Linked DNA regions of Astyanax mexicanus. The protein of the gene in region 1 interacts with the protein of each later gene in a pairwise test. Links are inferred from orthologs where the notes say so. Each region holds a gene or a part of one and is shown on either strand. Other genes may lie near its edges.

Region 1 (3,761 bases):
TTTTACCTTTTTGTGATATGTAGCCGCTAACTAGCTAGTAAACTAATACACATAATCTTGCAATAAGCAAGCTAACTGGCTTGTAATAAAGCTAAGCTAAACTAACTTAGAGATACCCATTTGCTTGTTTTGTGATTATCAACATATTAGTTAGATAACCTAAACGATTTTGGCAAGATTTAAGTTTCTTTGTTACTGATCAGGCTAATGAAATGTAGCTAGTGAAGTATTGCTTATTTTGGGAACACATACTGTCTGGTTATTTGGTTGGATAATTAGCTAAGCTAACTAACTAAGCTAGTTTAATTAACATATTATATTTCACAGTTCTTACAATGTCCAAGTTTTACAGTTAAAACCTAGTTAGCAAACTACACACAGCTCTAGGGGGAAAAAAGACCACTTTAGTTTCTGAATCAGTTTATCTGATTTTGCTATTTATAGGTATATCTTTGAGTAAAATGAACATTGTTGTTTTATACTATAAACTATGGACAACATTTCTTCCAAATAACAATATTGTCATTTGGAGCATAATAACAATATTGTCATTAAGAGCATTTATTTGTAGGAAATGAGAAATGGCTGAAATAACAAAAAAGAGGCAGAACTTAGACCTCAAATAATGCAGAGAAAACAAGTTCATATTTATAAATCGCTAAGAGCTCAGAAAAAAATATTTAGTGAAATAACTCTGGTTTTTAATCACAGTTTTCATGCATCTTGGCATGTTCTCCTCCACCAGTCTCACTGCTTTTGGATAACTTTATGCCACTCCTGGTGCAAAAATTCAAGCAGTTCAGCTTGGTTTGATTGCTTGTGATAATCCATCTTCCTCTTGATTATATTCCAGAGAAACTCATCATTTTTAAGTGGTCTCTTATTTCTTTCCAGAGCTGTATATGCAAGATATATGCATAGCTGTATATGCATAGATATATGTATAGCTGTATATGCATAGATATGTGTATCATTATATCAAACAAGCTAGGTAACACAGCCCTCTTTAAAACAAAAAAATGTGTATGTATTTTAAGATGTGTAACTATGTATTAATCTAACCAGCTAGCTTATTTTCATGTAGTTAGAAGTACTATTAATATAAGCTAATTGTATTGTGAAACGCATTATTATAGCTATGCATTATATGTTGTGTTCTAGCTAGCTATATTTGTTGTCAATTTAAAAAAAGCTTGGTAGCTTGTTAGACAATTTTGGCAAGATTCAAGTGCCTTTGTTACTGATGAGGCTGATGAACAGTAGTGAAGTATTGCTTATTTTGGGAACAAATATTGTCTGGTTATTTGGTTGGTAAATGACAGATACACATAACGTAACCTACATAATCAACAGCTATAATAGCTAACTAAGCTAAGTTAGTTAGGTTAACTAACTACATTTCATACTTCTCACAATGTCTAAGTTTTATAGTTATAATCTAGTTAGCTACCTACACACATGTAGGTTACTTGTTGTCTCTGAAAAATGTAACTATAGATAACTAAACAAAAAGCTATATGTGCATTTTAAAGGTGTTTAACTATGTACTTAGCTAGTTAGTTTATATTCATGTAGTTTGCTAGCGGTATTATTGATATAAGCTAATTGTATTTTGTACACAATCATTATAGCTATGTATTTGATATTATATAAAATATAAATCTATATAAAATATATAACCTTTAGTTGGTTAGCTACATTTCATACGTTTTACAATGTCCAAGTTTTGTAATTACAACATAGTTAACTTAGCTAACTACATAGATGTAGATTACACTGTCAGATAAAATACCACTTTTTGTTGTCTTTGAAAAATATAACTATATATATATTTATCATCATATTAAAAAGCTGTGTGTATTTTTATGTGAAATATGTACGTTAAGTTACCTAGCTAAATAGCTGGTTAGCTTATATTCATGTAGTTAGCTATCAGTATTGTTAATATAAGCTAACTGTGTTGTGCACACCATTATTATTGCTATCCATTTGATATCGTGTACTTTCTGAGCTAGCTATGTTTGTTTGTTGTCAATTTAAAAAAGCTAAAGTTAGCTAGCTTCGCCATCTAGCTGTTAGGTTAGTTATATTTCCAGGATTTTCTTCTGTAGTAGCTAGCTAGTTAGCTAACAGTCTGTAGTAGCTAATGTTAGCTAGTTAGCTCTATTAGCAACAGCGGGCTGGACGCGCAGCGCCCGTTTCTATCAGCTCAAGCCGAGCGAGGCCTCAGCTGCGTTTCGAGCCGGGAAGCGGCCGCGTCTAATCACACGTTCCCCCGGCAGACGGAGCAGCAGTGCGGCCTACCTGAGGGTCAATACTGGTGGTAGACATAATTCATCAACAAAGCCCCTGTAATCGCCAAGAGTCTAAAAAACGGTCGGCTTGTTCAGCGAATCTCCAAACACCGTGTTTCCTCCCTCGGTCTCTCCTGCAGGCTCAGGCTGCCGCCGCTGCTGCTGCTGTTTTCTCCTCACGGCGCGATTCCTCAGCAACTTCCACGGCCAGATTACACCGATCACGGTACGGAGATACACCACGATCCGGGCCGCGCGCGCTACTGCGCTTATTACAAGGTCCAGCGTCTCGGGTTTAGTCCGGTTCCGATGCGCGGCGAGGCTCTTTAGGAGGTTTTTCCTACTCCTCGCAGCCTTCAGTTTATTGTGCAGCCCAGTTCACTTCCCCCCTGCTCCATCCGGGATCTGCGCTCAGCGGACTGACGTCACGGGGACCGGGTGGCCACGCGGCCTGTCTGTCTGCTTTCCTGGACTTGACCCTGTGCAGCTCGTTTAACTTAGTAATAATACTAATAATTCAAATATTATCAATGATTTATTAACCCTTTCAGACCTGAATTTATGTCCCAGTTATGGAAAAATATATGAAGGCCGTTTTCCTTCTGTAATGCACACAACATTTCTAATATTAGGCAAAGCAAGACAAGTTTATTTTATAAAGCACCGGCCATTCAAAGTGCTTTACAAATTAAAAAATACTAAGAGATATAACATATAAGAGAATAATAACAAATATAAATACCCTAACATTACATCTATGTTAAAATAAATCCAATTAACTTACCTTTTTAATTCTAAACATGATAAAACATGATTTTTTGCCTTATTTCTTCTGTAGTGCTGAAAAGCCCCAATGTCTGAGTTGCTGATTTTTTTCTAGTGCAGTGGGCGGGGCTAAGCTATTGTTTTATTGTCTGGTTTATGATCTTATGGACGACAGGTCTGGATTAGTGTTCTGTGCAACAAAACATTTGAAAAAAGAAACTACATGATGTTCAAATGTTACTTACAAATTACGAAATTATGAAAAAATTGGACACACCTCTTCTATAAGACTGCTTTGTGACAACATCAGTTGTAAAAAGCGCTATGCAAATACATTTGATTTGATTCTCAGTTAATGTGTTTTTTTTCCTTTTCTTTTTTTACATTGTACATTTAATATTGAAGATATTAAAGCAACTAGGAAGACATACAGAATTATTATGTAAACAAAAAGCGTTAAACAAACCAGAATTTGTTTTATACTTTACAGTCTATATATTCTTACCACATTTTAGTTTTAAGGACAAATCTGCACACACTCAATGCACGCTGAGTGTACGCATCTCAGTGTCTTCATGAGGTAGAGTCATCTGGAATAGTTTTCTCAGCGTCTTGAAGAAGCGTTCCTGGAAGTGCTGAACAATAGCTGCTGCTTTTCTTTTACTTTGTGAAGCTCCAGCTCATCCCAAATCACCATCTCAG
Region 2 (3,761 bases), on another chromosome or scaffold:
CCACCTCAATCTTCTGAGGCCAGAGCAATGTGACTGTTGCCCTCTATTAAAAAAATAAGAACAATGAGAAATTGGGTGAAATAGAATATATTTCTGTTTAAATAAAATAATGATTTCTATTTTTTTATGATACATTTTGTTCAGTGACTTTATGAATTGGCTGTGAAGATGAATACAAAAAAAAAAAAAAAATCACATTCTTCTTTCAAACACAATCAGAAACAAGCAAACTTGAAAAATAACTAAATAAATGTATCTGAGAAAAGATACAGACACAACAGATTTATTAAGGGTGCAGGCGTCTGTACAGGCAAATACTATTACTAACTAAATACTAACAAATATGTAAATCTCTTTTTGTATTTATTATGTATTAGAGATGTATAAACAACTATTTACAGCTTATAGAAAAAAGTAAGCAAGGATATTATTTTGTCAAATTATTCGAAGAATAACTGAAAACATACGTAAATGTGGTATATCATAATATTATATATCGTTATCGTAATATAAAAAAAAGTCTATATCGTGATATACATGATATATTTTCCCATATCGCCCAGCACTAGGCTGTATTGACCGTTCTGTATCTGAATGAAGTGTACTACAAATGTGTGTAAAAACATTCTTAGCATGAAGGCAGTATATAAACCAGGCACTGTACCTTAACCTCCCCATCAGTGCAGCTGTAGCGAATGAACTTCGCCATATCAGAGGACTTCAGTGATCTACTCAGCGTGGTGTGGAGCAGTTGCTTTGGTTTGGGGAACTCCAGCAGGAGATCAGACTGACCTGGGGATCAAAAAATCATAGAATTATTAGTGATGATCAATGTCTGTCATACTGTAGTGTACACATAAAGTGTTTTATACCTTCAATATACCAGTAGGCCCGTCATGCTAAGAATTTTTGCGGGCGATATATTGTCACAGAAATGATTGCGATACATATATTTTTGTAATTTTAAGATTATTAAATTCCACTAACATAATGATAACAGAAAAGCATAAAAAATAAATTATACACTTTTTAAGGGCAACAAAAAAAATCAATAATCATTTATTATAATTAGTTTGGGAATTATATACTTATTTCTTCACCTACTTTAGTCCACACTGTGTGTATGTTATGGAGTCACGGTTATTGAAGCATGACTGGCTAAAATACTGTTTACTGTAATATATGTGAACAAACATACAAAAAAAAAAAACACAACAGACGATATCATGATTATCAAAAATTATTGAGGTCATTTTAATTTATTGTACGATAAATCGATATTGCAATTATTGTGACAGGCCTATATACCAGGAGTGGTAGAAAGTTATCCAAAAGCAAGTAAATTCGGTAAAAAAGGCAAGTAATTCCGTTCGAAATGTGAAACTCATTATATATATATATATATATATATATATATATATATATATATATATATATATATATATATATATATATATATATATATTATATATATTAAACACAGAGTGATCCATTTTAAGTGTTTATTTCTTTTATTGTTGATGTTTATGGCTTACAGCCAATGAAAACCCAAGAATCATTATCTTAGACAATTAGAATATTATATTATAAGACCAATTGGTACTTTTGGCAGTGTGGGCAGTGGTGTGCCAAGTCCTGCTGGAAAATGAAATCCACATCCCCATAAAAGTTGTGGGAAAGTTTGTGGGAAAACAAAACTGCACTGACTTTAGACTTGATAATAAAACACAGTGGATCAACACCAGCAGATGACATGTTTTTCCAAAAAAATCAAGCAGATTGCTAAAACTATTAAAATTAGGTTAAAACTCTCAGCTGTCATTATTAAAAAAAATAGAACGACAGTGGGGGAACATGGTATTTTAGGAAGGAATGTGGTCGTAATTAAAAAAAAAAATCTGAAAGAAGGTGAACAACACTAAAACTCAAGTAAATGTTTAAAGGTGAAAGTAAGAGCTTTCCCCAAAGGGCACAATGCAGTAAAGGGAACTCAAGGGATTGGGATTAAATTGCTGTGTAGCCCTAAGAAAACCAGTTATCAATAATGCTAACAAGCAAAAAAACACAGCTTCAGTTCGCTAGGTCATGCCCATATATCATAGGATACGTTGGTAAAGTGATTATTATGAACGGTCTAGTAAACTGTTTTGGTGACACTTGGCTTGGTCAAGCTGATTAACCAGTAAGGTCAAACTTGGCCCTGCTAACCCAGTTGGTGGCCTAACCCTGTTGGTTATGCTTGCAGATTAAAAAGCTAAACCTTCTTAAAAGAACTTAAATAAACACATATCCTCTACTGATAACCCATTTTAATCAGTGTAATCAGTGTAAACTGTGGTGTAATGTAATGTTACTGGTGTGTATGACCCCAGTGTGTGTGTGTGTTGTAGTTCTGCAGGTCAGTTATGAAATGGTTAAGCTGGTACCTCCTTCTCCTCCTCCTGTGGAGCTCTCAGTCTCCGGATCTCCTCGTTCCCCTGCTCTGGTTCTGTATCTGCTCGCCCACCTCCAGCTCCAGCCGGACCCGGCCCGGCCCGCGGGCTCTCCCGTGCTGAGGGACAGTATCTTACACAGCCCGCGGACACGCATGATACCGGTACAGTGCGCCGCCATCTTTACCGATACACACGCGCAGGCGCACACGCGCACGAGCGCGCACGTTCAGCAGCAACACTACAGCAGCACTGCAGCCCCCTACCGGCCTGACTGATCAACTACAGCTCCAGCAGGCCAGACAGACAGACAGACAGACAGATAGGCAGACAGGCAGACAAATAAACAGACAAATAAACAGACAGACAGACAAATAAATAGACAGATAGGCAGACAAATAAACAGACAGACAGATAAATAGACAAATAGGCAGACAAATAAATAGACAGATAGGCAGACAAATAAACAGACAGACAGACAGACAGACAGACAGACAGACAGACAGACAGACGATAGATAGATAGAAAAAATACAACTCAATAACAAAAACAACTGCACATTACATACACTTCTGGTACATTTTTCAAAAACAAAAATGTGTCAAACCACTGATAATTTAACCCTCTAACACAGCAGGATTTTTGTCAACTGTCTGTCTGACATTTCACCACTAAATCTTGAGGGGTTTCTACTCAACCATTGCATAAAAAAGCTTTTATGTTTGATAAGAAACATTACAGAAAAGCCTAATTGTAATTGTAATAGAAAATTATATATATATATAAAAAAAGAATAAAATAATAAATTGTTTTTTCCTGAACTTTATTTTAGCTTAATATATTCCTGAATACAAACCAAACAGTTAATTTCCTACAAACCTTTAGTTACATTATGTGTGTCTAGTTTTTACGTCTATTTTCAAACATGCAGAATTTGGGTTGATTCCTGTTTCTTATCTGGAATTATTAATTTATTAAGTGGAGTAGAGAGAAAACAGGCAGCTTCTCAAAGTGTCCTGTAGGAGATTTCAAAGCCCTCAAATTTTCAGAATGTAAATAAGTTATTTTATATGGGACATTAAAGGCATTTCAAAGGGGTTAAAAGCTTTTCATTTTTTATTTGAATCCCGCTATTTCTTTTAATGATTTAAGCATCTCAAAATGATGACCCAAAATAATTAACTTAATAATGGGGAAAAAAAATAAACTGTGTTTATTTTAGGTGGCGGAAATGGGCTTCCACACAAATGCATGGCTGTGCCAGAAGAGGATACAGGTCCTGACATGTCCCAAGTAGAGAGTATTGTGAGAAAACATGTTTTAAAAAAT
Region 3 (3,761 bases), on another chromosome or scaffold:
ATACACCATTATTAGGTAGCGAGCACGACTGCCTTTGTGTTCACACACAACTAATTAATTAGATCTTTAAATTCATTCAATCATTCACCACACACTAAAACACAATGGGAGCAGCATAAAACAAACAAAAAAAAAATCACAAAACATCTGCGTTATTGTGTGGTTTTCAAAAACCCAGCTGTTTTTAGAAGACCACAACACAACATTTTAACATTATATAAGTAATTTCAAGATCTAATAAAGGTTTAAACTTGGTGTAGCTAGATTTTGTTTTTATCTAATAAAGGTTTAAACCTGGTGTAGCTAGATTTTGTTTTTTATTAAACTTAAAGAAAATGTTAGGTATAAGGTCAGCATAAGGCATCAGCATTATAATTTTAAAGCCAAAATACATCCTCTTTACATATAGGGAGCAGAATGATTTCTTAAACCTGATAAATAGGATTGTCTCTGTTCACAGAATGAATTAATCCGATATTTAAATCAAATTAATTCATTTACCACATATACTAAAATACAATGAGCAGCAGCCAACATCTGAATTAAAATGAATCCATCCATTCATCTACTTACTGGGGAAAAGGTAGGATTGTTCCTGTGTTCACTCAACTAAATTAAACAGAATTTTAAATCGAATTCATTCATTTACCACACATTGAGCACGATAAAATACAATACAATGTGTGCAACACAGCAGCATTACCGTTTAAAAAAATCATCTTCAAATAGGGAGCAGAATGACCTTTTAAAACTGTTTTTAAAAAACAGTATTTCGTATTTGTTCACACAACTAATTAATCAGATCTTTAAATCGAATTCATTCATTTAACGTTGCTACACATTAAAATACAATGAGAGCAGCATAAAACAGCACAAAACATCTGCAGTATTGTGTTTTTCAAAAGCCCAGTCGTTTTTAGCAGACCACGAAGCGATATTTTGACATTAGAGAAGTATTTTCAAGGTCTAATAGACGTTTAAACTCAATGTGATTGTAGATTTTGGTATTTATTACACCTAAAGAAAACGTCTGAGGAGAAAAAAAACGGTAACGTTATGCTAACGGCTAAATTGGCTAAATTCGCTTTGCAGCGTTTTGTGTGTGTTATATTCAGATCCTCTCACACATTTAACCACTTGAGTTAATACTTAATTCATTTTTTCACAGGATAATAAGTCGAAAATGCCGAATTTTAGCGAATTATATCAAATTTAAACGTATTTAACAAGTTAGCTTAGCATAGCTTTAAAGGTAAACATCTCTAACCTTAGGTTAGCTTAGCATAGGCGGATTTTTCCGCTTTGGTTTGGCGTTTAAGATTCTAGTCGAAATAAAGCTGTAATATGGTCAAATGTGGTTTTTAAAAGGTGTTAAAAGTGCGTCTAAATATGAATAACAGCTAAAATGGGTGTATTCGTTTAGGAAATGTGTATAAATAGCTGTAAGTAGGTGATTCAGGTCCAGAAAATAGAAATCCGTCGATCTAGATCCAGAAGGTAAAAATCCAGCTCCAGGATTTTGTTTCAACTGCCTGGGCGGTTGTGCTGCTGCTCGGCTGCTGCACAGGCGCCCAGGCAAATGAAACTAAATCCTGGAGCTGGATTTTTACTTTCTGGATCTGGATCGGAACAGATCTCTATATTGAAGCAGGTTAAAGCATTTAGAAGGAATTGTAAAGCTTAGAAACGCAGGACATTGTTTTTTTACAGGCTAAAAACGGGTATCAAAGCATGTAATACTAATTTATGTTAAAAATGTGCCATTATTGTAATAAGTCAAAAAATTAAATAAAATAATAACTAGGGATGAGATGAGCTCAGCCTGCAGACCTTAGGTTATAACATATATGCTATAACACTGAATTTCACACCGAAATTTGTACACCTATATAACTTAATAGATTCATTTCTCTAGTGCTGTAAATCTGTGCACACTCATAATACGTGTGTTAAACCCGTAGAAACGTGAATAACCCGCAGCCTCTCTCAGCTACAGGGGCGCATAAAGAAGCAGTGGAGATTAAAAATGGCTGCAGCGCCAGAACAAAGCCACAGTCCGAGTCAAGGGGGGCAGCGGAGATTCAGATTAAAAATAAAGGCACTATTTTCGCCCGGACCGCGCCGATAACTCACCGATTCAACGGGGAAACTCTTGTGTGTGCCCGATGGTGCGGATTTAGTCCACCTGCGCGCGGAATCTGGAAGGATGGATGGAGATTCTGCGGCCGATTCTGTGTTTCTTTAATCTGCTCGCCGTTTACTTGTGTTGCCACACACGGCCTGCTGTCGGATATGACGTTGGGGCGAGAGTGTGTGTCAAACTGCGACCGCTACAGGCGCGTCCTGGTATTACACACGCAGTGATTTATATTACATTTTGTAGTGTTTTCTGTTTTTTTTGGGTGGATGGATGGATGGATGGATGGATAGATAGAGATGTATGGATAGATGGATGGATAGGGATGTTTTGACTCCACAAACCCTCTGATGGTGGGTTGAGCTGGGTTTGATTACATTGCTTTGGGATGAGTTGAGCTGTGTTGAGTTGGGTTTGTTGTGTTGAGGTTGGTTTGGGTTGGGTTGGGTTTTTTTTGGGTTGTTTTTCATTGGGCTGTGTTGAGTTGGTGTTTTTTTAGGGGGTTAGTTTAATTGTTTTTTTTGTTGCGTTGGTTTTAGCTGGGTTTGTTGTGTTCAGTTGGGTTTGTTGTGTTGAGTTGGATTTTATTGTGTTTGGTTTGGGTTAAGTTGAGCTGTGTTGAGTTGGGTTTGATTGTGTTTGGTTTGGGTTAAGTTGAACTGTGTTGAGTTGGGTTTGATTGTGTTAGTTTGGGTTGAGTTGTGTCTGTTCGCATTGGTTTGGGTTGAGTTGAGCTGTTTTGAGTTGGGTTTGATTCCATTGGTTTGGGTTGAGTTGAGCTGTGTTAAATTGGGTTTGATTGGGATTGGGTTTGGTTGTGTTGGTTTGGGTTGAGTTGGGTTGAGTTGAGTATCTGCTCTATAGAGTCGTATTCTAATTAAAATAGAATAAAAACACTGCTTGATGTACTGAAATACATGACCGACTAGATGCCATAGATGCTTGTAAAAGCCGGGAACTACATGTGTTAGCTTTAATGCTCCACTAGGTGGCACCATTGGCAAGCTATGGTGTTTTTTAATCTTGTGCACAAATCCAGCACTATGGTTTCTAATAAAGTGGCCGGTGAGAGTCTGTAAAATAATAATAAATATTATACAGTAAATTAAACAACCTATGTATTAAATATGAATTATATTTATATGTCATGTTAATAATTTGCTATGATGCAGCAGAATGGATCATCTGCAATAAATCAGTCTGTATGATATTAAAATGATAATTTCTTTATATAATGAATCCTGTCTGCTGCAGATCCTGAGTGAATGGAGTGATGAAGAGGAGGTGAAGAGGATAGAGGGATGAGTGGTCCTCAGGAAAGGGCTGGTTCTGATGGAGAGAGAAGAGAAACTCTGCTGGACTCCACTAAACAAAATATATTTACTGAATAATGAGCTAAACATGTGTTTCTAACACACTCACTGGCCACTTTATTGGAAACATCTACTATATTACCTTGTGCTTCCACTCACTGTGGCCACTTTATTGAAAACACCTACTACTATACTACCTTGTACTTCCACTCACTGATGGCCACTTTATTGGAAACACCTGCTATACTACCTTATGTGTCCACTTACTGTGGCCACTTTATTAGAAACACCTACTATACTACCTTGTGCTT

The links.
Region 2: the proteins of ythdf1 (region 1) and dhx30 interact in a two-hybrid assay, tested with the Homo sapiens proteins (2 studies listed by BioGRID, with this or other methods). The link is inferred for Astyanax mexicanus from reciprocal best matches to the Homo sapiens genes YTHDF1 and DHX30.
Region 3: the proteins of ythdf1 (region 1) and prrc2b interact in a two-hybrid assay, tested with the Homo sapiens proteins (2 studies listed by BioGRID, with this or other methods). The link is inferred for Astyanax mexicanus from reciprocal best matches to the Homo sapiens genes YTHDF1 and PRRC2B.

The regions. Positions count from the first base shown.
Region 1 is NC_064419.1:39,808,125-39,811,885, reverse strand, and holds the start of ythdf1 (YTH domain-containing family protein 1), read right to left. Parts: upstream 2,699-3,761; 5' UTR 2,332-2,698; coding exon 2,305-2,331; intron 1-2,304.
Region 2 is NC_064415.1:9,717,705-9,721,465, reverse strand, and holds the start of dhx30 (ATP-dependent RNA helicase DHX30), read right to left. Parts: upstream 2,629-3,761; 5' UTR 2,614-2,628; coding exon 2,427-2,613; intron 793-2,426; coding exon 665-792; intron 44-664; coding exon 1-43.
Region 3 is NC_064408.1:3,655,793-3,659,553, forward strand, and holds the start of prrc2b (protein PRRC2B), read right to left. Parts: upstream 2,303-3,761; 5' UTR 2,134-2,302; intron 1-2,133.